7 linked regions of the Callithrix jacchus genome follow. The main gene of each other region encodes a partner of the protein of the gene in region 2 in a complex. Links are inferred from orthologs where the notes say so. Each region holds a gene or a part of one and is shown on either strand. Other genes may lie near its edges.

Region 1 (3,500 bases), on a different chromosome or scaffold from region 2:
AGGATGGGGTAAGAGTAAGCAGGACTGGGAGGAATGGGATTAGGCGGGATGAGTAGGACACCCCTTTGTGCTGCAACAGTGACTTGAGCAGAGCTTGGTTCCAAAAGATGTTAGATGTTAGTACCTGCGGTACAGAGCTGGGACCACTGGACAAAGGCATTTCAGTGAGAAGTGCCGTGTGTGTAAGAAAGGGCTCTGGAGCAAGAGTCAGGCAACCAAATTCTCTGGGCTCACTTCCTTCATCTGTGAGATAGGAGTGATACCTACCCTACCTCTTGGAGGCATCAAAAGGGATGACGGGTATGAAAAAGTTTTATAAACTCCTGGCCAGGCTCAGCAGCTCACGCCTGCAAACCCAGCACTTTGGGAGGCCAAGGCAGGCAAATCACTTGAGGTCTTGAGTTCAAGACCAGCCTAGCCAACATGGTGAAACCCCATCTCTACTAAAACAACAAAATTAACCAGGCGTGGTGGCAGGTGCCTGTAATCCCAGCTACTCGGGAGTCTGAGGCAGGAGAATCACTTGAACCCAGGAGGTGGAGGTAGCAGTGAGCCAAGATCTCGCCATTGCACTCCAGCCTGGGCGACAGAGCAAGACTCTGTCTCAAGAAAAAAAAAACCATTTTGTCAGTCCTAAGCACCATACACACGTCAGCCATCACTATTATTAGAGTGTGAAAGGAATGGTGGTGGCTGTGAAAGGTGACATTAGGGGTCCTGGAATTTCCTCTGTCCCTTGTGTAAGTGGGTTCCAAGTGGTCCCGATGACTCATCTCTGCCTCATGCTGCATTCTTCATCCTCATTGAGGGTCAGGGCTTTGGGTCCCACTCTGCCACCCTGGCCCAGGCTTTAGTCACACCTGCCGTCCCTAGTACAGGCCCTTCTACCTTCCTTTCCTCACACAGATAAACGGGCCTTCTTCATCATCTGCACCTCCAAGCTGGGCCCACCCCAGATCTATGAGCTGGTTGCATTGACGTCATCAGACAAGAACACGTGAGACTTGATTGAGGGGTCATCCGTAACTGCGGTCCCCTTGGGACCAGGGTGGTGTGTATGAGGACGGTGGACAGCAAGGCCAGGGCTGGGCCCCAGAGCAGTCCCTGGACAGGGAGTTGGGAAGGGAAGTGGGAGGTGGTAGGACAGAATAAGAGAAACTGGGAGGGGTCATAACCCCTGACCTGGTCACTAGGCCCGCCTCTGGGAGAATGAGCTCCTGGCAGCCTTCCAGCCGCAGCCGCTGCTGCTGCTTCTCTGCTTCCTGCCCTACTCCCTTCACCATCAGGCGAATTAGATTCATGCATCCTTCTCAGGCGTTTGCCTCCCACCCAGCCCATGTTATCTGACAGCAGCCACCAGAGGTGGCGTGGTGCAGTGGAAGGGGGCGGTTGGAGTCAACCCGTTTCCCACCTCCAGGGTTTTCATTTGTAAAATGTGGCTAATGCTCCCTGTTAGAGAATTACTTTAGAGAGAAAACAGAAGGCTTTGCACAGAATGTAGCAGAGGGTTGGTGTCCAGGATTTGGTAGCTACAAGTAATATAACCCCAAGGGAGCAGCCAGGGAGAACTGTACGGGGAGGTGGGCACCTGCCAGGCAGAGGGTCCTTAGGGCCTGAAGAAGGACCTGGAAGCCCTGAAGCAGTGGGCTCAGCATGGGGGTGGTGTGTGCCGTGGTCTTGCTCTCACTACAGTCCTCTCTGTTCCTGCTGAGCAACAGATGGATGGAGCTCTTAGAAGAGGCCGTGCGGCATGCCACCAGGCACCCCGGAGCTGCCCCAATGCCTGTCCATCCTCCACCCCCAGGGCCCCAGGAGCCAGCCCACCAGGGATCTACACCCAGCAGGTGCAGCGCTTAGCCCTCCAGACCCCACACTCTCTACACTCCAAACCGCCTGTTTCCTGCTGCTTCTAAGCCCTTCACCCCAGGGGTGGACAGCCACAACAGGGAAATGCTAGCAGGGAACAGACAGCTCCAAGCGCTGGCAGATGGAGGAACATGCCCCCTGTCCCTGCTTCCTATCCCTGTCTGTTCCCCCCACAGCCTGCCACCCGGCTATAATACAGCCTGAGCCTGAAGTAGGGTGACTGGGGTGTAGAGCAGGGGACCAGAGAAGCTCAGCCAGCAGCCCCCCTCCTCACCGGGTTGCCATGCAAACCAGCCAGATGAGGAGGCCCCACACCGTCCTCAGATCCTACTCCATCACCCATCCTAACACAGGAGTCCCGGATGGAATCTCATGCATGACATCTCACCCTGGGTTGGTTTCCTCCTTCAGGGTAGAACTGGATGACTCAGACGTGTTCCATGGTGAACCTGAACCTGAGGAGCTGCCTGGAGGTAAGGGCCCTGAACTGTGTGGTGGGAGCCAGTGCAGGTTGGGTGTGAGTATGGGGGCGATGGGAGAGGCCATCAGGGCCCAGGGTGTGAGGTTTTGAAGAGTAGAGAAGAAACGGGGCGGGAGAAAGAGTCTGGAGGAGGAAGGAGAGCAGACTGAATAGACAGGCAAGTGTGAGCTCACTCACCTGACCAGAGATTCCCACCCAGCCTCTGGGTGATGGCGTCAGCCATGGGGGAAGAGGAGCAGCCTGGTGGGGTCCCCTGCATCTTCCAGGGATTACTGCTGGGGAGAGAGATGCATGCTGCAGCTACAAGGATGGGAAACATGGGGGGCCAGGGCACTCAAAGCGCTTCAGATGCACTTACGTGATGGGATTGGTAGAGGGGACGACATTCTCATTGAGAGCTTGTGTGTAAAGTAACCTGGGGTCTTGGGTTTGAGGAGAAGTCTCAGGCTTCCTGGCTGGGTCCCTGTTGTTTCCTTCTGCTTAGAATGCTTTTCCTCCCAACGCCACACCTTCATCGCGTCTTTGTTCCAGTGTCCCCTTCGCCCAATCTGTTTAACGCCAGCACTGACCAGCCCCCATGCCCTACTCTGTTGCTTTCTTCTTTCCCGTGGAAGTTACCGCCTTCTAACAATCTGCATAACTGACTGAAGTGTCTTATTTTTGTATGTCCCTCCACTAGAATGTATGCTCCGCATGGGCAGGGATCTTTTAGTTTTGCTTACTGTTGTATGCCTAGAGCCTGGGACAGTGCCGGCCAAAGTGCCCAGTGACCAACCGTAGAATGAATCGGTGTTCCCAGCCCCTTGGCTCCAAAGCTGCTCATGGGCTCTCCCATACGTGCCCTCTCCCTTTCCCCGCCTGGCAGTCTTCTCTCATTCAAAGCAGGTACTGGGCCCCAGCAGAGGGTCCAAGGGAAGCACCCGGTCCTACTCGAGGACCCTGAGCAGGAGGGCAGTGCGGAGGAGGAGGAGCTGGGTGTCCTGCCTTGCCCTTCCACATCCCTGGATGGAGAGAACCGGGGAGTCAGGACAAGGAACCCCATCCACCTGGCCTTCCCAGGCCCTCTGTTCATGGAAGGCCTCGCTGATTCCGCTCTGGAAGATGGTGAGTGCCTCAAGGCCCTGGCGTCAGCCTCTGGTCCCCAGTCACACAG
Region 2 (3,500 bases):
CAAACACACAAAAAAAACCTAAAATAAAAAAAAAAAAAACAACCCTCCAATTCCAAAAGAGCTTTGTTCCAGTCTTAGCAGAGGGCTTTTAGGACAGAAATGGGAAGCACTGTTCTCACCATCAATGACAAAATAAAACAATTGTGGCAGCCTGCTTTATGTTAAAGTTAAAAAAATGTTTTAAAATTAAATGTAAGCAGCTGGGTTCCATGGCTCACGCCTGTAATCCCAACACTTTGGGAGGCCGAAGCAGGTGGATCTAGAAGTCAGGAGATAGAGACCATCCTGGCTAACACAGTGAAACCCTGTATCTACTAAAAATACAAAAAAATAGGCCAGGCATGGTGGCTCACGCCTGTAATCCAAGTACTTTGGAGGCCAAGGTGGGCCAACCACCTGAGGTCGGGAGTTCAAGACCAGCCTGAACAACATGGTGAAACCCCGTCTTAAAAAAAAAAAAAAAAGAAAAAAAATAGCTGAGCATTTGAAGATGATTTGGTGGAACAACAACAACAAAAAATAGCCAGGCGTGGTGGCACACACCTGTAGTCCCAGCAAGGCTTGAGTCAGGAGATTCACTTAAACCCAGGAGGTGGAAGTTGCAGTTAGCCAAGATAGTGCTACCGCACTCCAGCCTGGGTAACAGAATAAGACCCCATCTCAAATAAAAAAAAACAAAACAAAACAGGCTGATGTTATGGTTCATGTCTGTAATCCCAGCACTTTGGGAGGCCGAACTGGGTGAATCACCTGAGATCAAGAGTTTGAGACCAGCCTGACCAACATGGAGAAGTTCCATCTCTACTAAAATACAAAATTAGCTGGGTGTGGTGGCGCAAACCTCTAAAACCAGCTACTCGAGAGGCTGAGGCAGGAGAATTGCCTGAACCCCGAAGATGAAGGTTATGGTGAGCCAAGATCATGCCATTGTACTCCAGCCTGGGCAACAAGAGCAAAACTCCATCTCAAAAAAAGAGGTCCTGGCACAGTGGCTCATGCCTAAAATCCCAGCATTTTGGGAGGCTGAGGTGGGCGGATCACCGGAGGTCAGGAGTTCATGACCAACCTTGGCCAACGTCGTAAAACCCCATCTCTACTAAAAATACAAAAATTAGCCAGCCGTGGTGGTGCATTCCCGTAATCCCAGCTACTGGGGAGGCTGAAGAGGGAGAATTCCTTAAACCCGGGAGGAGGCTGGGTGCAGTGGCTTACTACTGTAATCCCAGCACTTTGGGAGCCCGAGGCAGGTGGATCACCTCAGGTCAGGAGTCCGGGACCAGCATGGTGAAACCCCATCTATATTTAATACAAAAAAATTAGCTGAGCATGGTGGCACATGCCTGTAATCCCAGCTACTTGGGAGGCTGAGGCAAGAAAATCACTTGAACTCAGGAGGCAGAGGTTGTAGCGAGTTGAGATCATGTCATGGCACTGGGTGACAGAATGAAACTTAGTCTCAAAAAAACAAAAATAATAAACTTTTCTGGACACAGTGGCTCACACCTGTAATCCCAGCACTTTGGGAGGCTGAGATGGGCAGATCACGAGGTCAAGAGTTGAAAACCAGCCGGGCCAACATAGTGAAACCCCATCTCTACTGAAAAGACAAAGAATTAGCCAGGGGTGGTGGTGGGTGCCTATAATCTTAGTTACTCAGGAGACTGAGGCAGGATAATCACTTGAACCTGGGAGGCGGAGGTTGCGAAGAGCCAAGATCATGCCATTGCATACCAGCCTGGACAACAGTGCAAGACTCTGTCTCAAAAAAACCCAAACAAACTTGGACTAAGATGGCAGTATGAGAATGGATTATTCTTTCTAACATTTTTGTTACACTGTATACTGAAATAGCAAAAAGCTCTTAGTTCTATACATGCTCTGTGAATAATCTAACACAGAAAATGGCACCAGTTGTTATGAAAAGTATACTCACCTGTTTTCCATCCACCTCGATATCTGCCACATAGTTCTCAAACACTGTGGGCACATAAACCTCTGGGAACTGGTCCTTGCTGAAGACTATGAGCAAGCATGTTTTTCCACAGGCTCCATCACCAACAATCACCAGTTTCTTCCGAATGGCAGCCATTGCTGAAACACAAACCACAGGATTATCTGGAATGCACAAGAAGCCATAGGTAGCCTCAGGCTATGACACGTGCTTTTTTAACCATGGGGCATAAGCCTCTAACAGCATTCTCAAATTCACAATTCTAGTATACTGATCCATCTGGCACCAAAACGTTATACAACAAAACCTCATAACATTTTATACTTAATGGTAAAACACTGAAAAGAAGGTCAGCTCCCTAATATCAGGAACAAGACAAGGATGTCTGTTCTTGCCACTCCTTTTTTTTAAGACCGAGTCTCACTTTGTCGCCCAGGCTGGAATGCACTGGTGCAATCTTGGCTCACTACAACCTCGGCATCCTGGGTTGTGCCTCAGCCTCTCAAGTAGCTGGGACTACAGGTACACGCCACCACAACCGGCTAATTTTTGTATTTATAGTAGAGACAGGGTTTCTCACCATATTGCTCAGGCTGGTCTCAAAACTCCTGACCACGTGATCTGCCCACCTAGGCCTTCCAAACTGCTGGGATTACAGGCGTGAGCCACCGCATCTGGCCTGTTCTTGTCACTTCTACCCATCAAGATACTGAAAGTCCTAGTCAGGGCAATAAGTAAATGAAATAAAAGACACCCAAATTGGAAAGGAAGAAGTAAAACTATCTCAATTCATATATGAGATGATCTTACAATGTGGGAAATCCTAAAGAATCATTAAAATACTTTTAGAATAGGCTGGGTGCAGTGGTTCACACCTGTAATCCCAGCACTTTGGGAGGCTGAGGCAGGTGGATCCCCTGAGATTGGGAGTTTGAGACCACCCTGACCAACATGGAGAAACCCAGTCTCTACCAAAAATACAAAATTAGCCAAGGGTGTTGGCAAATGCCTGTAATCCCAGCTATTTGGGAGGCTGAAGCAGGAGAACTGCTTGATCCCAGGAGGCAGCGGTTACGCTGAGCTGAGATCACACCATTACAGCCCAGCCTAAACAACAAGAGCAAAATTCCATCTCGAAAAAAAAAGAAAAAAGGGAAAAAAAAAACCTTTTAGAATAAACAAGTTCAGTCAGGTTGCAGGATACAATATTAACATTAAAAAATGAATTCAGTTGAGGCCAGGCACAGTGGTTTTTATCTGTAATCTCAACACTTTGGGAGGCTGAAGCAGGAGGATTACTCAGGCCCAGGAGTTAGAGACCAGCCCTGGCAACACAGTCAGACACTGAGAAAGGAAGGACGGAAGCCTGAGAGGGGAGGGAAGAAAGAAAAGGGCCAGGCAGAGAGTGGCTCACGCCTGTAATTCTAGCACTCTGGGAGGGTGAGACAGGCAGATTGCTTCAGAGTCCAGGAGTTCAAGACTAGCCTGGGCAATGTAGTGAAATCCTGTATCTACTAAAAATACAAAAAAAAATTAGCCAAGTGCGGTG
Region 3 (3,500 bases), on a different chromosome or scaffold from region 2:
CAGGGTTTCACCACATTGCCCAGGCTGGTCTCACACTCCTGGCTTCAAGCAATCCACCTACCTTGGCCCTCCAAAATGCTGGGATTACAGGCATAATCCACCATGCCTGGCCAAAAAAAAAGAGCTTTCAAAAGTTCATATAGCAACCACGAATGCTAATAGCTGACGATGTTTACTCTGTGCCAGGCCATTCTAAACTTAACCTCAGGTCCTCCCAACAACCCCACGGTATATGCACAGTCCTTATCCCCAGGTCACAAACAAGGAAGTTGAGACACACAGCATGTAAGTTACAGAGCCAGGATCCCAAGCTAGTCCTATCTGCCCCAAAAGCCCACCTTCCCACAAGCCTTGCTCATTTCCTCACATGCCAGACACTGTTCTGGGCACTTCATTGGCACCTCCTCTTGCACTCAGCCAACATATCCACCATGTTGGGGCCCAGAGGCCTGGGCTCTCTCCCCCAGCCCAGCCCCGCCCAAGTCCCATCCCAGCTTGGCCCCTCCTTCCCTGCACCCCATGCCCCGTCCTGATGCCCACCTCAATCTTGCTGTTGTACACCAGGATCTCCAGCACAGAGGCCTCTTCCCCACAAGTGTCCAGAGAGGAGAGGTCATAAAGTGAGGAATACACTGGCCCGTAGGCCCAGTCCTTGAACTTGCGCGACAAGTGCCGTGTGTCCTCATCCGTCACCTCCCGCCGGATGATGTGCTGAAAGATCTGCACAGGGGACCAGGAGGGTCAGGGTCTCACACTGGAGAGGCCCCCGGGGCTGAGCCCAGTTCAGCACGTGACACCTCCCCAGAAAACAGCTGAGCCCCGGCTGCCGGAGGACCCCTCCCTTCCTCATCTTAATTCTTGCTCTTATAGTCTTGGTTTACAGATAGGACGTGGAGGCTGGGAAAAATGAAGGGTGCTCCAGAAGCCACATAACTAGTCAGCTGGAGCCAGACGGGACCTAGGCGAGCTTTCACCATCTTAATTGTAATGAATATCTTCCTCATGCCTTTAAAATAGCAATGAGCCCAACTTAATAATATGTGAATTATAACACTGCCAATCATCTGCGGTCCTTCCTGTTATCGCTCCTCCTTCCCTGGCTTACACACAGGGAGGCTGAGGCACAGAGAGGAGGTAGGAGTTAACCAAGGTCATGCGGTTTCATGGGGCAATGTTAGGATTTGGGGTTTGTGTTTGTTTTGAGATGGAGTCTTGCTCTGTCACTGAGGGTGGAGTGTGGTGGCGCAATCTCGGCTCACTGCAACCTCCGCCTCCCAGGTTCAAGCAATTCTCCTGCCTCAGCCTCCCGAGTAGCTGGGATTACAGGCGCTCGCCACCACACCCAGCTAATATTTTTGCATTTTTAGTAGAGATGGGGTTTCGGTAGGTTGGCCAGGCTGGTCTCGAACACCTGACCTCTGGTGATCCACCCACCTCAGCCTCCCAAAATGTTGGGATTACAGGCATGAGCCACCATGCCCAGCCAGGATTTTAGGGGTTTTTCTGAAACAGGATCTGGCTCTGTTGGCCAGGCTGGAGTGCAGTGGCACTATCACAGCTCACCACAGCCTTAACCTCCTTGGCTCAAGTGATCCTCCAACCTCAGCCTCCCAAGTAGCTGGAACCAAAGGCAGATGCTGCTGTGCCTGGCTAATTTATTTCTATTTTTTGTAAAGATGAGGTCTCACTATATTGCCCAGGCTGGTCTCAAACTCCTGGGCTCAAGCAATCCTTCCATGTCAGCCTCGCAAAGTACTAGGATTACAGACATGAGCCACTGAGCCCAGCTGAAGTCAGGATTTAAACCCGAGCCTTTATACTGCCTCACGACCCTGGTATAATCACAATTTTAGTAATTTTTGCTGAATGTTTATTTTTATTTTTTGTTTGTTTATTTTTATTTGGGATCTTACTATGTTGCCCAGGCTGGACTTAAATGATCCTCCCACCTCAGCCTCCCAACTAGCTGGCATTACAGACATGTGCCACCATGCCCGCCAGGTAATAGTCCCCACCCCCCATTCACTGAGCATTTACTGCCTCTCCCCGTCTCCTCCCTAAGAGCCTTATGTGGATCACCTCATTTAACTGCCATGACACTACACCAGAGGGCACTCTTATATCCCCATTTTATAGACAAGGAAACTGAGGCACAGAAAAGGGAGATGCAAAAGGAATAGAAGAGAGGGAGGCAGAGGCTGGTCATTGAGGTCACACACTAGGAAGTGGGAGGGCTTGGACCGGTCTCCTCCCTCTAGGGAACTCAAGACTTGGTTCCCAATCACGGCGACGCTGCCCCGAGGACAATTCAGCAATGGCCTGGAGATATTTTTGGTGGTCACAAGTGTAAAGGGAGGTGCTCTTGGCATCTGGTGTGTAGAAGCCGGGATTCAGGTCATCATCCGGCAAAATAACCGTCCTGAAGCTAAGAAACCCTTCAGGCCCTATACTGTGCGGCCCGAAGAGGGAAAGGAACTGGCACAGGGCCACTCAGCAGCCTTGAAGCTGGAACCACTGCTGCGCTAGGACCCTGCAACTCAGTTTCCTATCAGTGGCTCATCCTGGCTGGTGGGAGTGGGGTGGTGAACATCCCATAGGGTGACATGAAGTGAAAGTCTCAAGGATGAAGCTAAGCAGCTTGGCTCTACACCAGGGAGCCACAGCAGGCTCCTGAGCTGGTACATTCACACACTGGTGTTGACATGTTGGGAGGTGCATTCACATATTAATGATGAATCCCAGCAGCAGAGCCTTGTGTGTGTGTGGAGGGGTATGAGTGGGTGGATCAGCTGTGCCCCCGCCCACACTCACCCCAATCTTGCCCGTCTTGGCAGCCATCATGAGGGGCGAGAGGCCGTCATTGTTGAGCACGGCCTCCAGGTTGCTGTCGGGGAAGAGGCGGGCACACTTGAGCAGCAGCAGGTCGTACATCTTGGTGACGAACTTGGTGTTCTCCCGCGTGTTGTCGGCGATGGCCACCAGCGCATGCAGCACCGTGCTGCCACGCGAGTCCTGCCGCCGCATGTCCGCCTTCTTGTGCGGGTTCTCCGTCAGGTAGTTGACAATGTGCGGCTGGTTGGTGCAGGCAGCCAGCGACAGGGGCAGCTCCCCTGCGGGCCAGGGTGGAGGGGGGGAGGTCAGCGAAGGGGGCCTGGGGTGGGGCTCTGCCTGCAGACGCTTGCGGGGCAGACACCGTGGCACTCTGAGGGTGACGACGGAGACAGGGCCAGCAGCAGATATGAACTGCACGTTTCTCTGGGTGAGGCCGGGGAGATGCAGGGTAGCTGGTTAAGGGTACAGGCATGCTACTTGGAAGCTGTGAGGGACTGGACACATCCAATGATGGAATTCTTTTTTTCTTTTTTCTTTTTCTGAGACGGAGTCTCACTCTGTCACCCAGGCTGGAGTGCAGTGATGCAATCTCAGCTCACTGCAACCTCCACCTCCCAGGTTCAAGCGATTCTCCTGCCTCAGCATCCCGAGTAGCTGGGATTACAGGT
Region 4 (3,500 bases), on a different chromosome or scaffold from region 2:
TTTGAGATTTTTTTTTTTTTTAAGCCCATCGGCTATTGTTAGTGTTAGTGTATTTTATGTGTGGTATGGCCCAAGACAATTCTTTTTCCAGTGTGGCCCAGGGAAATCCAAATGATTGTACATCCCTGAAAACCACTGGTGGAGATTTTCTTGGAGTAGAGCAAAAAGATTAAGGATAATGACTCAAAGAGCATGAGAGAGTTTAGGGAGTGTTAGCTGCACCTCTTCCTATTATGTTTTATTTTGATGAATGGCATGATAGGCCAGTCTGGTGGTAAGCCCAAAACTTGGAATTATCTCTAAAACCACCTCCTCCTTTAATCTACTGTTGAATCTATCAATTCTACCACCTATGGCTTTCTCAAGTCTGTCTCTTCTTTTCCATCCTCATGCTACTAGTTGAATAAACCATAGAAATTTGTGTCAAAAATGGCTGAATATCAGCAATTTCAAATTGCTCAACTCAAAACCTTAATTCAGTCCTTTATCATCTCTCATGTCTATTTTTGCAATAACTGTTTTTTCTACCCCCATTAAACCCTAGATACATCTTTCAAAATGAAAACCAAATAATGGCACCTTGCTGCTTAAAACACTTTAAGTGCTCCCAAATTCTGTAAAGAATCAAATTCACATATCTTAACTTGGTATACAATTCACTCAATTCACAGTTTTCAACCTCTCTGGCCACTGTCTCTCTCCAAACTCTATGTTCCAGCAATACTGATTTATTTGCAGTTTCCTTCTAAAATTATGTTGTTTTACATCTCTGTGCTTTTGTACATCCTGTTGTCTTTCCCTGAAAAGGCCCTTTCCTCCATTCTCTTTTCCTTCTTCTCCTGAGAGATTTCTAGTTAACCTCTAAAATAGCACTCCTTCTGTGACACCATCCCAGAGCACCCAGTGTGTTAGTCTTTCTTTCCTCTGCTACAACCAAATAGCATTTGTAGCTTTAATGCTGTACTGTAGCTGTTTCTGTCAGTCCCCTCAATAGACAGTTAATTCCTTTACAGAAACACTATCTTGTAGTATTTATACTGCAATAACTCAAATATTAACTGTTAAACAAAAAAATGGGCCTGAGAGAGCAGTTATGATGGAGAAGGGGTAAAAGGGGTACCAAGGAGGCCATTTTGTTATCCTCTCTTGATAACATCCATCTTGCCAACATACTACTTGGTCCTGTATCAATGAAAATGTATGAACTTTTAGGGTGGTCTGGGTGAGACAGGCAATAGGAAGGTCCTAGTTAACAGCTGCTTTTCCCCAGGGAAAGTTCTCAAGATTTAGTATCTGATGGGGAAGAACACTCCTGAGGCTAACCAGCTGGGACAGCTATTATGGCGAAGCCAATTATTTATATGAAAGAGATTTATGCAAGTCAAGAACAGCTTTACTTTTACGCTTTTTCTCTTGGCATCTTCTTATCTGTTCTAAAAATAAATGAAAACAGCTGGTGGATTTAAGTTCTAAACTTTCTCTTCATGTATAATCGCTACTGAAGTGTAAAAGAGAAAAGATTGAAAGGGTCACCTTAGAAAACAGTATTAAAGGCTGGGTGTGGTGGCTCATGCATGTAATCCTGAGGTGGGCAGATCATGACGTCAGGAGTTTGTGGCCAGCCTGGCCAACATCGTGAAACCCCGTCACTACTAAAAATAAAAAAATTAGCCAAGTGTCGATGGCACGTGCCTGTAATACCAGCTACTCAGGAGGCTGAGGCAGGAGAATTGCTTGAACCCAGAAGGCGGAGGTTGCAGTGACCTGAGATTGCGTTATTGCACTCCAGCCTGGGTGAGGAGAGTGAGACAGAGCAAGAGTCTCCTTTTGAGACAGAGCAAGACTGTCTCAAAAAAAAAAAAAAAAAACCAGTATTAAAAAAATTTTTTAAGTATATAATCTAGATACTAAATCAACTGCTGAACTGCTGCTGGGTACTCACTATTGTGATCTTTAAAATAGTTCATTTGTTCATTCATTGGTTATCTACCATGTGCCAGACAGCTGCACAGCCATAAGAATGTATTTTTTTCTAACTTTCTGAGTTCTGGGCATCATATACTATAGATATCATTTAATTTCTAAATATTAGTAGCCTGCATGGTCAATGCCTGGCACAAAGCAATGTTTGACAATGATGCTGATAATGGTGGTGGTAAAAGTAATAACAATAGCAGCAGTGACAGCAACCTCCATTTAGTGTTTCCTATGTCCCATGTACCAGCTGAGCACATTATATATATGATCTCACTGAATTTTCACGAACTTTCAGGTAAATACTATCCCTAATAATATTTATCATTATTGTTACGACCTACCATGCTGGGTTTCTAAAAAAAAAGACACTCTAAAGTTTTCTAGTGCAGAGTTTCCTCTGGAACTTACTTTTGATTTACTGTGTCGTATAAGGGCAGACAGCAGTCTGTTTGACTCCCCCATCACACCAGCATGATCTTTGGCTTCACACCATTCCACCAAACGCTCCACTAACTTAACATTCTTTCCCAGTTGTTCAGCAGCTTCTGCTATAGGAAGAAGGCAAACCAAGGAATGAATCACTAACAATCAGCTGAAATAATTCGTAAAGATTTAAGAGTGTGAAGGAGAAGTATGTCTAAAAAAACACAGCACAATAACTTCATTAAAGCTAGAACTGCAAATACTCCTTATGTGATGGGCTATTTGGCTTTTTCTGTAACACTGTGAAATTTGATACAAAACACAAAAACAAATGACTTCATACTCTTTTGGTTAAGCCTGCTAATCTGCCAGTGCTCTGGCAGACTAGAGTGCGGAGTTCTTAGAAGGAGTCTATGCAATAAATATAGAAAGAGGTTTAGAACTTAGAAATAAGTAAATAAACACAATTCATTCCTAGGAGTGGTTTTGACTGCTGTTTCTGCAAATAGAAAAATGTTCTCCCTGTCTGCAAGACAGATTTTTAAAATTTTTGACTGTCACAATAATGAAATTTGATTTCAAAGCCAAGGTAAAAATGGGTATAGAATGTCCAAAGCACACAACCTCCCCACCCCACCAGAAACTGATAATAAAGCAAACTAAAACCAGGATTATAAGTACTAACAAGTAGAGATATGGTATAATTTCTATTTAAAGTCACTTATAGGCTGGGCGTGCTGGCTCATGCCTGTAATCTCAGCACTTTGGGAGGCGGAAGTGGGTGGATCACTTGAGGCCAAGAGTTCAAGATCAGCCTGGGTAACATGGTGAAACCCCATCTCTATTGAAATTCCAAAAAAAAATTAGCCAGGAGTTGTGGAGCATGCCTGTAATCCTGGCTACTGAGGTAGAAGTTGCAGTGAGCTGAGACTGTGCCACAGCACACCAGCCTAGGCGACAAAGCAAGACTCTGTCTCAAAAATAAATCGTCAATTATAACAAGCACACAAATTAATAAATGTTTCCAAAACCAATTTTATAATCTTTTATTTGCTGTTTATTTTTATGATTACATAATCCTGAAAACTAAAAACGAGTCC
Region 5 (3,500 bases), on a different chromosome or scaffold from region 2:
CTTTTGCCAACTATTCAGTAGCAGGTCACAATACCTTCAATCCTGCTCTAATCAGAGGCATTTCTGCCATAACTTCAGGAGGAAATGAGGGAGAGGGGGCAGCAGGAGCCCTCTGTGTAGGCATTCTGGGGAAGGAAAGAATTCCTGGCTTATACTCCCTAAAGACAGGGCTACACTCAGATCTGGATGACGGGCAGGGATTCTAACCCCTGCCCCCAACATACACATCCCTGCTGCATTCCCTCTTTCTCACTGTATAGTCAGACTAGAAATTTGAGATGAAGGGTCCTAATCCCATCTTCTGCTTGAAACATCAGAGGTTTCAGGCTCCACCCATAGGCAATAGAAAGGAAGGGGCAAGGGGACTGTGAAGTCCTGAATGCCCAGCTCTGCCCAGGAAGATGGGCAGAGCCAGCTGCAAGGCTGGCAGCTTTCCACCTAGTTCCTCTATCACCCCCCACCCCACTCCCTCCACACATACAACATTCCTGCTCCTTCTCCAATCAGTTCCCCTAACCCTTAGCAGCTGTTCAGGGAGCAAGAGGGGGGCCCAGTGGATGACAGCTGCAAGGGGAGCCAGCCCAGCCTCCCCTCCCCCACATTCCCAGATAGTCCGGCTTATGCTATATTCCAACAGCCACCACCCCTCAGCGTGAGGACAGGGAGCAAGGGATCAAGCATCTGGCCCTGGCATTTGGGCCCGGCTGGGGATGAGAGAGACGAATGATCCTCATGGGTCCAGGCAGATAAAAACAGATGCAAAGATCAGGGTCAGCGGGCACTGAGTCTGGGTGACTCTTAGGGTCCAAACAACTTACTTGGGCAGATGAGAGCTTCCTTGGCTGTGATGCTCTTGTTACAGGCATAGCACATGGTCATGCCTGAGACTGAAATGGTGGTGAAGAGGTGCCCGTTGGTATAGCGGGCATCCTTGGCTTCCTTCATCTTCTCCTTTTCCCGGGCCTGCGGAAAGGGTGAGAGGGAGAGGAAGTGAGGCTGGAAAATGCCAGGGTGCCTGGAGTCCAGAGGCAAGGAAGAAATGCCAGCCTGAGGAAAGACACCAGTTCCTAAAGCAGAGCCTGCAACTGGGTATCAGAGGCAGCTGTCCAGGAGTGACCAGGCCAGGCTCTGGGGCAGCCAGTCCAGACGGGTTCTGGGTCCCTGACCTACCTGGCCCCTGCGGCTGGGCTGCCTCCTATTGCCACTCATCTCCCTGGCTCGAGGTCTCTGCGTCCTCACTCCACCTTCCCAGTCCTAGCTCTGCTCGCCCCCGAGCTGCTGTACTCTCTTCTCTGTGCTAGGGGGAAGATGCGCAGAGAGGAGGGGAGAGCAGGCGAAGCAGAGGGTGCCAGCTCACCAGCGCTTTCCAATCTATGGGAGTTAGCTCCTCTTATAACCATGACAACCGATGTTGGAGCCGCTGTCTCCGTGGCAGTGGGGGGGGGAGCAGGAGATCCCCTTATTAGATTGGCTGAAGGGGGCAGAATGCCTCCCCCTTGCCACCCCCAAGCCAGAGGTCAGGATCCCAAACCTCTAGATCTTTTCACCAACCCTCAGCCAAGGAATACAGGCCTGTCTGGGAGGCAGCATGTCCCCTCATAACCTCAAGGCAAGGGCAGCTGCCTTTGGGTCATCCCTCCATTCTGAGATCTTTAAGTAAGGAATCTCAGCCAGCCATCTCGGTTGCTTTTGGCAGAAAATCTCTCCTGCAATCTGACTTTTATCCCTCTCATACTATCCTCCAGAGTTAAAATCTGGGAGAGTCCTCTTTTGCTCCTCACTCAACTGGGCTCTCCCATCCTAGGAAGTCCTTTCTGAGACCTACCCTCCATCCTTCAGTGCTGGTCTCCACAGATGGCGCACACCTTCCTCGGAGCCTCAGAGCCGGCCTTTCCCGACTCTGCTGTCTCCCATTTCCCCCAGTGTCCCTGCCTCTGCAAGTCGAGTCATTCTCCCTGACCTCCAGTCTGTCCCTCCTCAAGTCCCTACGCTTCCCAAAAAGTCTGAGAAGGCGAGAAGCGGGGGATATCACTCTCCCCACTATTCTAGGACCTTCCTCAGTTGTGACCCTGGATCTCTAAGATTTTCCCTCCGCTCTTGGAGGAGGAGTAGAAATTGACAAGACCACTCCCTCCAAGGTTTGCCAGGTTCTCAGAAATCAAAGAGCAGGATCCAGATGGCTGAGGGTGGAAGTCCCAAGACAGAGGCTCTGGGTTGGGGACAAAGAATTACAGTTCAGTGGGGAGCACTCAGCCCAGACTCTAGAAGACTAGTACTGACTCAGCCCAGGCCATGCTAGCAGCTGAGAGGTGGAAGAGGTAGAGTCTCACAGGCCTGGTGGTCAGGGCAGAAAAGGGTAAAAAGGGGAAGTGTGGAGGGGCTGAGTCAACAGTGCAGGGACGGAGGGCATGGGGCTGCAGTGCCTCGGGTCTCAGAGCTTCCTGGTGGCCCAAGATCCTTCTCTTTCCTGCCTTTCCTCCCAAGCTCCAGGTTTGCCTGATGACATGCAGAGTCCAGAGGTCTTTGGGTCAATCTCTTCTTCATTCTCCCCTCATGCATCCTCCCCACCCCCAATCATCCATTGTTCTCCTCCTCTTCCTCTTTCTCCTCCTCCTCCTCCTCCTCCTCCTCCCTTCTCTCAGGGTCTCCTTCCTGGGCTCCTCCCCCTCTGCCTTCCCTTTCTCAGCCTTGCTTCTCCGCCACTGTTCTCTCCTGCCCACGGCCTCTCCTCCTCTCCTCCTCACGCAGGCCAGCTGCTCCTCTACCTAAGCTTATTCAGGAAGCTGAGCTGCCTCTGGTCTCAAACTCAGAAACTGTTCTGGCCTCCTTTTTTCTATTCCAGTACCTACCTACTTGGACCACTAGAAAATGCTCCCTTTGGTCTAACCTCCACCTATCTTGTGCCAAATCATAGCTCTTTAGAAGTTCAAATTCAGGCTGGGCGCAGTTGCTCACATCTGTAATCCCAGCACTTTGGGAGGCCAAGGCAGGCAGATCACCTGAGGTGAGGAGTTCGAAATCAGCCTGGTCAACATGGTGAAATCTTGTCTTTACTAAAAATACAAAAAATTAGCTGGGCGTGTTGATGGGCACCTGTAATCCCAGCTACTTGGGAGGCTGAGGCAGGAGAATCGCTTGAACCCGGGAGGTTGGGGGTTGTGGTGAGCCGAGATTGGGCCACTGCAGAGTGAGACTCCATCTCAAAAAAAAAAGAAGTTCAAATTCACCTCTGAATAATAACCTCCCAGGATCTCAAAGACCAAGTCCAAATATCTCTTCCCACTGCCATACACTCTCCCTTTTCTCCTCTTCTCCTGCCCTTCCAGCCTTCTCTATGGCACAAATCCAAAGTTTGAGAATTTATCACATTTGAATTAAAAGCAAGAGGCCAGCGAGGCCGCTCACGCCTGTAATCTCAGCACTTTGGGGGGCTGAGGTGGGAGGATCGCTTGAAGCCAGGAGTTTGAGGACAGCCTGAGCAACACAGCCAGACTCCTGTC
Region 6 (3,500 bases), on a different chromosome or scaffold from region 2:
AGTAAATAGACATCATGAAACTTTCCAACCTATTGTTTTCCTACTCCACTCTTTTTTCTCTTTTTTCTTTTTTTGAGACAAGGCCTCACTCTGTCACCCAGGGTGGAGTGCAGTGGTGCAATCTCAGCTCACTGCAGCCTTGACCTCCTGGGCTCAAGCGATCCTCTCACCTCAGCCTCCTGCGTAGCTGGGACTATAGATGTGCCACCATGCCCAGCTAATTTTTGTATTTTTTCTAGAGACAGGGTCTTGCTATGTTGCCCAGCCTGGTCTCCAAGCTCAAGCAATCTGCCCACCTCAGTCTCTCAAAGTGTTGGGATTACAGGTGTGGGCCACCACACCTGACTTTCCTATCTTTTCCTTTGTTTATTTTTGAAATGTTCTAATGTTCTGTAACTCATTTGTGGATTTATTTCCTGTGAACACATCTAGCCATTTTTGAAAGTGTCCCTACTTTAACATACAACAGCATCTGGAAATACAGAACTCTAGTTCACAACGATCTACAACAGTAAATGTGAACTTCCGGCTAAACGTCAAAACGTAGTTTTGAACTTTGACCTCAGCATCCAAACTCTAGTTTTCAAATACATAGTACTCAATAGTACAGACCCATCTCACAGTGAGCACAGAAGCTCTAGGGCTAAGACCAGGGCCAGGCCCCTATTTTCCTGGCTGAATACCATATAATATGTGATGTATTTCCTTCACTCTCCCTTCAAAATGGATAAATGTATGAAAAGTAATTCTTGTTGTATGGTTAGCTTCCAAAATAACTGAGCTAGCCCCATGTACTCTTCTCTGCTTTTTTTTTTTAACATTGGTTTTGCCCTCTGTAATTTTTTTTTCTATTTGTATGTATTTCACAGTTGTACTAAGGAAGATTGTTATCTCCAGACTATTCCACACTCCAGGAAAAGACTAAGGAGTCTGGCTGACACTGGTTGGGAAGGCCAGGATTTAGGAAAGAGTAGGGCTACAGGCGTGTGTGTGTGTGTGTGTGTGTGTGCTCGTGTGTGTTTGTGTGTGTGTGCGCACGCCTGTTTTTGTTCAATTCCACCACTTCTGGAGATTAACAATCTAAACTTTAGAGAGCTGGTTCAGCAAACAGAGGATGAAAAAGGCTCATTAAATGTAAAGCATGGGCAGTGTGCCTTCCGTTGCCTTGCCCGTACCAAAGACACCATTCGAACTCAGTAGTCAGCTGTTCTGTCGCCCTTGGGATAAGACTCCACATGGCCGGAGGCAGTGGCTCACACCTATAATCCCAGCACTTTGGGAGGCCAAGGTGGGCAGATCATGAGGTCAGGAGGTCGAGGCCATCCTGACCAACATGGTGAAACCCTGTCTCTACTAAAAATAAAAAAATTGCTGGGTGTGGTGGCACGTGCCTGTAATCCCAGCTACTCGGGAGGCTGAGGTGTGAGAATCCCTTGAACCCAGTAGGCAGAGGTTACAATGAGCCAAGATCGTGCCACTGCCCTCTAGCCTGGTGATAATGCAAGACTCTGTCTTAATATTTCAAAAGTGAAATATTAAGCAATTACATCAAGATTCACTAAATGAGCACCCCAATGTCAAAATTATTATAGGAACATTACAGGGGAGTAAAATGTGTAAAAATTAGCTATATGAGCTTTTCAATGGCCACAACAACTCCGTGCTATGGTAAGTATAAATGTTGCACTACTCCTCTATTTTTCTTCCCTTGAGTTTTTAATGATAACTTCAGATTGAAGAAAAAAGTTCAATCAATTAATTTAAAATATTTGTTGGAAGAAACGCTATTCCAACCCAATAGATTCTAGACCTAATAACCCTGAAATAGAATAGAAGGCTATTGGGCCGGGTGCGGTGGCTCAAGCCTGTAATCACAGCACTTTGGGAGGCCGGGGCGGGTGGATCACGAGGTCAAGAGATCGAGACCATCCTGGTCAACATGGTGAAACCCCGTCTCTACTAAAAATACAAAAAATCAGCTGAGTATGGTGGTGCGTGCCTGTAATCCCAGCTACTCAGGAGGCTGAGGCAGGAGAATTGCCTGAACCCAGGAGGCGGAGATTGCGGTGAGCCGAGATCGCGCCATTGCACTCCAGCCTGGGTAAGAAGAGCGAAACTCCGTCTCAAAAAAAAAAAAAAAAAAAAAAATAGAAGGCTGTTATTTCCCCCAGAGGCTGTTATATTTGTCTCCCGAAGAGCTTGGTTTTTCTATATGCTAGAGAAATGTTTGGGTCTTGTCTCCTTTAAAAAAAAAAAAAAAAAGCAAATGTTATTTTTCCCCAAAGTCTTTTACCTTTACCACCAGCGACCGGCTGCTGGTTACTTGCTTCTGAAAGCGGCTCTCTGGCTCGCTTCGTATGAGTCATAGACCTCGGAGCTGCTATGGGCCTCTCAGCCATTTTTCTCTGAAGATTCTCTCGCCTGGCACGGGTTCGCTCCAGCAGTTTCTACATACATAAATACATCAGTGTTAAAACATGAGTTTATGCATAAGTAGCAAGAAGCAAATAAAAACAAACAAGCAAAAAACACCGTTTAATCAAATGTTTACAAAATTGCAACATCTTCTAAAATCACCAGTGGCCATAAAGGATGCCAGTTAAACATATTTCAAAAGTGAAATATTAATCAGTTACATCAGGATTCACTAAATGAGCACCCCAGTGTCATAATTATTATAGGAACATGACAGGGGGAATAAAATGTGTAAAGTTAGCTATATGAGATTTTTATTGGCCACAAATTCTTTCTGCTTTCATCAAAAGACACAATCTATTTCTTCACCCTTGAATCTGGGCTCATAAATCTGCTTTGACCAATAAAATATGGCAAAAGTGATATTGTGAGCCTTCCAGGCATCAAGAAACATGGGGTTTCTCTCTCTGCCACTAAGTGAACATGCCCAGGTTAAGTCCACTAGAGACACATGGCCCAGCTGATGGTCAGTATCAACCACCAGACATGTGAATAAGGCCATCTTAGACCATCCAGCTCCAGATAATCTGCCAGATCACTGAAGATTCCTCCCTGACCACTGGAGAGACAAACAGAAGAACAGCCTGGCTGAGCACAATACAAATTGCTGACTCAGTGAATCACGAGAAAAAGAATATTGTTTTAAGCCACTAGGGTAGGCAAAAATAATGGTCTCTCAAAGGTTTTTTTTGTCCTGATACCCTAAACCCATGAAGATGTTGCCTCATGGGGCAAAAGAGATTTTACTGATATGATTAAGAATCTTTAGACAGAGATAATCCTGGATTATCTGGTCAGGCCCAACATTATCACAAAGGTCCTTACAGTGGAAAACAGAGAGGCAGGAAGATCAGAGTTCTCAATAAGAAGACCACCAATCATGGACTGCTTCCGGCCAGTTTACAGAGGCTACTCACTTGAGTGCCTTCATGTCCCCACCTCACCTTTTGACATACAGAGCCCAACTGTAATGACATGTTAAGTCTCCACCCCAAAGTGAACACGGGATGCATGAAATTGCATGT
Region 7 (3,500 bases), on a different chromosome or scaffold from region 2:
TGAATCCCACTTTCTTGACCAAGAAAGATACTATAAAATTTTCTGACTCATCTAGTTCCTTATATCAAACTCACAATAACAAGTAATATCTGTTAAAACAGAATCCCTATAACATCAAACATGCTGCTTCAAAATATCTTCCTATTTATGTATTATTCAGAAAATACACTAATTAAATCTACTTTCGAGTTTATGACCATATAAATAAAACTTCCAAGACCCTGAACTAAGACTGTACAGTATTTCAAATCTATATATATGTAAATACATGTTATTAGGTTATAATCTATTCATTTCATTTCTTTCTTTCCTTTTTTTATTAATTTTTTTTTTTAAGACGGGATTTCACAGTGTTGCCCAGGCTGGTCTCAAACTCCTGAGTTCAGGCAATCCACCCACCTTGGCCTCCCAAAGTGCTGGGGTTATAGACGTGAGCCACCACGCCTGGCCTATTCATTTCGTTTCTAAATTGAACTTACAGTATGTATATTTCTCATCTCTATAAAGTACATATATGTCCTATAGTTTACATGGTGATTAAGCCAAGAATGAGGCTGTGTTTAATTTAAATTGATTCTCCACTGGGAAAAAGAAGACACAGAAAAAAGTCTGAAATCTTAGCCACTCATTCCTGCCTTTATTTGACCTCCCTGGCCTCTTACTGCACTGCCCAACCCCTTTTATCTATTTCTCCAAACCTAAAACTTAAAGTCTGATTAAAGTTGATCACTATTCCACTAAATAGGCTTCTATACATAGGTGCTGTGGTTCTGATGATAAAGTACAGTTTTTAGTTTTAGCACAAGAATAAATAAAATGTTAAAGAGCTATTACTCACAAAAACGCACAACTTTTAAAAATAGTGCAATGTGCAGCAGCAGCTTTGACTCTCACTGTGGACTTAGGGTGCTCAAAATAGATTCATAAACCTCTTATGGTTTTTATTCAGGTGGAGCTTCTTAGGTCTATTTAAATAGCCTAAGATTACTTACAACTGCTTCTACTCCACAAAATACACCAAGTATACAATCATCATCAGGCTTTGGCTATCAGAAATAAGAATTCCTTCTTAGGAATCCATGGACAAAATGACAAGGAGGTAGAAAACCAAATGAAAGAAATATACATTAATTTCCATGACATTTATACATGTTTGAATGATATGGAATTATTCTTACCTGGGAGGTTCCCATCAGTTTCATCAGCACTAGGAAAACTAGCAACACTTGTAGAATCTGAGAGGTCCAAAAGTTTAGCTCGCAACTGCTCAATATCACTCTCTTTGCTGGCCAACTGCATCTGAAGCTCATTCCTATGTGCACATTCTTCTACCAATTGCTATTTTTGAAAAGTATCAAGATAATATAATCAAGCTAAAATAATTTCCAACATTAATTGAAATATGGCATGTAATTTAAACTAATACTAAAAATGTACAGTAAACTTCATGAATGTTTGCTACCACAGATTTTGATACACTACAGAAATGTCAAGTTCTTTCTCAGTAATAAAATAGCTCAGACAAATTCCTCTTCTCCTTGCCTTAAAAAGAGTTTTTGTTTTCAAACATAAGCCATCAAAACAAAAAAGTTAAAACAATTGAAAATGCTTTTCTGGCTCCAAATGAAGTAGCTTTAAAGGTATAGAAAATTTAAGAAAACCGTAATTGATGGAGCTAAAAAGCTTCGTGCTAATTGCCAGAGACCAGGATCTCAATTTTGCTCTATTAACAAGCCAAGAAGTATCAAAAAACTAAGCTTGCTATTTAGATTTCAAAAAAGTGGGTCCTGACTAGGGAAAATAAATAAGCTACAATACTTCAAAACCTCTACCCCAATTATAGTTAATATTATAACAGCCATATCCCAATTTCAGTCTGAAACCAAACAGGCAGAACCCTTGATTGTCTCTTTCAGAATAGGGCCTCTAAATAAGCAGCTGCTAATGGGTAAAAATTACTCAAGCTACAATAACTATTAGGCAACAGAGCATCTTTCTAGTTTTTCAAGATCATGATTTATATTAGAGTAATAACGACTAAATTGTGAAGAGTATATACTAAAATATGCATTGTTAGATATAGGGAAACCCAATCTAAACAAGATAAATAGATAACAAGTATATACAGAAATAATTTAAGAAAATAAAACTTTACACTCATGTCTGTACACACACAGAAACCTTACCGCTTGCATGTCATTCAGTTCCTTCTGATGTTTCACTACCATCTGGTTGAATTTCTCTCTTTCTTGGTTGAGTTCCAGTTGTAGCTTTCGATTTTCCTTTTCTTTCTTTCTCAAATCTTGTGTATTAGCTTTCTTTCTATCAATTTTAAAATCTTTTCGATTCATTATTTCAGCCAACTTGTTAACAGCCTATTAAAATATTAATAAAGATCAATATTGTACTTATCCAATTTAATACACTAAAATGTGTTTTTTTCTTTAAATTCAGGAAGCAGGACTTTTTGTGTGTATGAAAATTAGGACAATCCAATGAAGGGTGAGATATAATAACTGGTAGCACAAGTAACTAACATTCACTTATTTTACTACTTAAATGTGAGCTTTATTTGGTTAACTTTACAACCCAGTACTAAAGCAACAATATGCTAACCCTACTCTGATGTTAGGTACTAGCAAATAAAGCTTCTATGCCGTGGCCACATACTCTTCTCTTCTATAACTATACAATATTAGTAGGCAAGTTAACTTTCTTAACTCAACTGAAATCCTATTTCTTTTTTTTTTTTTTTTTTTTGAGACAGAGTCTTGCTCTGTCACCCAGGCTGGCATGCAGTGGCACAATCTTGGCTCAGTGCAACCTCTGCCTTCTGAGTTCAAGTGATTCTCATGCCTCAGTCACCTGAGTAGCTGGTATTACTGGAGCGCACCACCACACCTGGCTAATTTTTGTATTTTTAGTAGAGACTGGGGTTTCGCCATGTTGGCCAGGCTCTTTTCGAACTCTTGGCCTTAAGTGATCTGCTGGCCTCAGCCCCCTAAAGTGCTAGGATTATAGGCATGAGCCACTGTGCCTGGCCTTGAAATCCTGTTTCACAAATAAGTTATTTATTTATTTTTTTGAGACGGAGGTTTTCCTCTTCTTATCCAGGCTGGAGTGCAATGGCGTGATCTCGGCTCACCGCAACCTCCGCCTCCTGGGTTCAGGCCATTCTCCTGCCTCAGCCTCCTGAAGAGCTGGGATTACAGGCACGTGCCACCATGCCCAGCTAATTTTTTGTATCTTTAGTAGAGACGGGGTTTCACCATGTTGACCAGGATGGTCTCGATCTTTTGACCTCATGATCCACCCGCCTTGGCCTCCCAAAGTGCTGGGAATACAGGCTTGAGCCACCGCGCCTGGCCAAATAAGTTTTTTATAGTTAACAGTGAAAGAATTTACATTATTTGTTCTGATGAAAAGCTTGAATCTTATACGCCTTGGTTTTAGGAAAAAGTGCAGAAAGAGCAACGATTAACTAAAAAATGAACGTATGT

Evidence for each region.
Region 1: the proteins of RHOA (region 2) and ARHGEF11 are in contact, whole or in part, in a crystal structure (PDB 1XCG), measured with the Homo sapiens proteins. The link is inferred for Callithrix jacchus from reciprocal best matches to the Homo sapiens genes RHOA and ARHGEF11. Residues at the interface, in NP_001300870.1 of Homo sapiens: Arg5, Thr19, Val33, Tyr34, Pro36, Thr37, Val38, Glu40, Asn41, Val43, Asp45, Glu54, Ala56, Trp58, Asp59, Ala61, Gly62, Gln63, Tyr66, Asp67, Arg68, Leu69, Arg70, Leu72, Ser73, Pro75, Asp76, Pro96, Glu97, Pro101; in NP_055599.1 of Homo sapiens: Asn715, Gln717, His718, Glu737, Val738, Glu741, Thr745, Ser748, Ser837, Lys844, Arg867, Arg868, Leu869, Gln870, Arg872, Asp873, Ile876, Met879, Gln880, Arg881, Thr883, Lys884, Leu887, Leu888, Ser891, Arg914, Leu917, Lys918, Val920, Asn921.
Region 3: the proteins of RHOA (region 2) and TRPV4 are in contact, whole or in part, in a cryo-EM structure (PDB 9IQX), measured with the Homo sapiens proteins. The link is inferred for Callithrix jacchus from reciprocal best matches to the Homo sapiens genes RHOA and TRPV4. Residues at the interface, in NP_001300870.1 of Homo sapiens: Met1, Ala2, Ala3, Arg5, Tyr34, Pro36, Val38, Phe39, Glu40, Asn41, Tyr42, Val43, Glu54, Trp58, Glu64, Asp65, Arg68, Leu69, Leu72, Pro75, Asp76; in NP_067638.3 of Homo sapiens: Lys177, Arg179, Thr181, Glu183, Glu184, Arg186, Pro188, Arg224, Glu225, Asn228, Ser229, Pro230, Arg232, Arg237, Asp263, His265, Ala266, Gln267, Arg269, Asp313, Arg315, Arg316.
Region 4: the proteins of RHOA (region 2) and RAP1GDS1 are in contact, whole or in part, in a crystal structure (PDB 5ZHX), measured with the Homo sapiens proteins. The link is inferred for Callithrix jacchus from reciprocal best matches to the Homo sapiens genes RHOA and RAP1GDS1. Residues at the interface, in NP_001300870.1 of Homo sapiens: Ala3, Ile4, Arg5, Lys6, Asp13, Lys18, Lys51, Asp65, Tyr66, Asp67, Arg68, Leu69, Arg70, Pro71, Leu72, Ser73, Tyr74, Lys98, Trp99, Pro101, Glu102, His105, Phe106, Leu179, Cys190, Leu191; in NP_001093897.1 of Homo sapiens: Arg111, Tyr118, His121, Ser171, Glu200, Met201, Val204, Asn208, Glu211, Leu212, Glu213, Ala249, Glu253, Lys290, Thr291, Asp294, Leu295, Val297, Leu298, Leu301, Asp303, Leu334, Leu338, Ala341, Asn342, Ala344, Arg345, Asn346, Asp347, Cys350.
Region 5: the proteins of RHOA (region 2) and ARHGEF2 are in contact, whole or in part, in a crystal structure (PDB 7G9I), measured with the Homo sapiens proteins. The link is inferred for Callithrix jacchus from reciprocal best matches to the Homo sapiens genes RHOA and ARHGEF2. Residues at the interface, in NP_001300870.1 of Homo sapiens: Arg5, Lys7, Lys27, Gln29, Val33, Tyr34, Val35, Pro36, Thr37, Val38, Phe39, Glu40, Asn41, Tyr42, Val43, Asp45, Glu54, Trp58, Asp59, Ala61, Gly62, Gln63, Tyr66, Asp67, Arg68, Leu69, Leu72, Ser73, Pro75, Asp76; in NP_001155855.1 of Homo sapiens: Asp215, Ser216, Ser218, Leu219, Asp238, Val239, Glu242, Thr246, His249, Cys342, His345, Ser346, Leu349, Lys353, Lys376, Arg377, Gln381, Glu382, Leu385, Leu386, Thr388, Gln389, Ile391, Thr392, Lys393, Leu396, Leu397, Arg400, Lys423, Leu426.
Region 6: the proteins of RHOA (region 2) and ANLN are in contact, whole or in part, in a crystal structure (PDB 4XOI), measured with the Homo sapiens proteins. The link is inferred for Callithrix jacchus from reciprocal best matches to the Homo sapiens genes RHOA and ANLN. Residues at the interface, in NP_001300870.1 of Homo sapiens: Tyr34, Val35, Pro36, Thr37, Val38, Phe39, Glu40, Asn41, Trp58, Asp65, Tyr66, Arg68, Leu69, Pro71, Leu72, Pro75, Asp76; in NP_061155.2 of Homo sapiens: Met729, Thr732, Val733, Tyr735, Gln736, Ala737, Gln739, Ala740, Cys743, Cys744, Glu748, His749, Gly750, Ser753, Glu755, Glu758, Ala759, Leu762.
Region 7: the proteins of RHOA (region 2) and ROCK1 are in contact, whole or in part, in a crystal structure (PDB 1S1C), measured with the Homo sapiens proteins. The link is inferred for Callithrix jacchus from reciprocal best matches to the Homo sapiens genes RHOA and ROCK1. Residues at the interface, in NP_001300870.1 of Homo sapiens: Val38, Phe39, Asp65, Tyr66, Arg68, Leu69, Leu72, Pro75; in NP_005397.1 of Homo sapiens: Lys999, Val1003, Asn1004, Leu1006, Ala1007, Met1010, Asn1011, Arg1012.

Annotation. Positions count from the first base shown.
Region 1 is NC_133519.1:17,337,781-17,341,280, reverse strand, and holds part of ARHGEF11 (rho guanine nucleotide exchange factor 11), read left to right. Parts: intron 1-906; coding exon 907-997; intron 998-1,718; coding exon 1,719-1,844; intron 1,845-2,277; coding exon 2,278-2,339; intron 2,340-3,229; coding exon 3,230-3,451; intron 3,452-3,500. UniProt on the Homo sapiens protein: May play a role in the regulation of RhoA GTPase by guanine nucleotide-binding alpha-12 (GNA12) and alpha-13 (GNA13). Acts as guanine nucleotide exchange factor (GEF) for RhoA GTPase and may act as GTPase-activating protein (GAP) for GNA12 and GNA13.
Region 2 is NC_133516.1:31,978,357-31,981,856, forward strand, and holds part of RHOA (transforming protein RhoA), read right to left. Parts: intron 2,092-3,500; 5' UTR 2,090-2,091; coding exon 1,934-2,089; intron 1-1,933. UniProt on the Homo sapiens protein: Small GTPase which cycles between an active GTP-bound and an inactive GDP-bound state.
Region 3 is NC_133510.1:112,687,495-112,690,994, forward strand, and holds part of TRPV4 (transient receptor potential cation channel subfamily V member 4), read right to left. Parts: intron 3,111-3,500; coding exon 2,812-3,110; intron 721-2,811; coding exon 541-720; intron 107-540; coding exon 62-106; intron 1-61. UniProt on the Homo sapiens protein: Non-selective calcium permeant cation channel involved in osmotic sensitivity and mechanosensitivity. Activation by exposure to hypotonicity within the physiological range exhibits an outward rectification.
Region 4 is NC_133504.1:99,090,162-99,093,661, forward strand, and holds part of RAP1GDS1 (rap1 GTPase-GDP dissociation stimulator 1), read right to left. Parts: intron 2,526-3,500; coding exon 2,386-2,525; intron 1-2,385. UniProt on the Homo sapiens protein: Acts as a GEF (guanine nucleotide exchange factor) for the Rho family of small GTP-binding proteins (G proteins) that stimulates the dissociation of GDP to enable subsequent binding of GTP.
Region 5 is NC_133519.1:16,342,360-16,345,859, forward strand, and holds part of ARHGEF2 (rho guanine nucleotide exchange factor 2), read right to left. Parts: exon of another isoform or gene 1,826-3,500; intron 1,263-1,825; exon of another isoform or gene 1,210-1,262; coding exon of another isoform or gene 1,171-1,209; intron 964-1,170; coding exon 819-963; intron 1-818. UniProt on the Homo sapiens protein: Activates Rho-GTPases by promoting the exchange of GDP for GTP.
Region 6 is NC_133512.1:5,117,874-5,121,373, reverse strand, and holds part of ANLN (anillin), read right to left. Parts: intron 2,448-3,500; coding exon 2,294-2,447; intron 1-2,293. UniProt on the Homo sapiens protein: Required for cytokinesis. Essential for the structural integrity of the cleavage furrow and for completion of cleavage furrow ingression. Plays a role in bleb assembly during metaphase and anaphase of mitosis.
Region 7 is NC_133514.1:63,928,613-63,932,112, forward strand, and holds part of ROCK1 (rho-associated protein kinase 1), read right to left. Parts: intron 2,376-3,500; coding exon 2,187-2,375; intron 1,339-2,186; coding exon 1,179-1,338; intron 1-1,178. UniProt on the Homo sapiens protein: Protein kinase which is a key regulator of the actin cytoskeleton and cell polarity.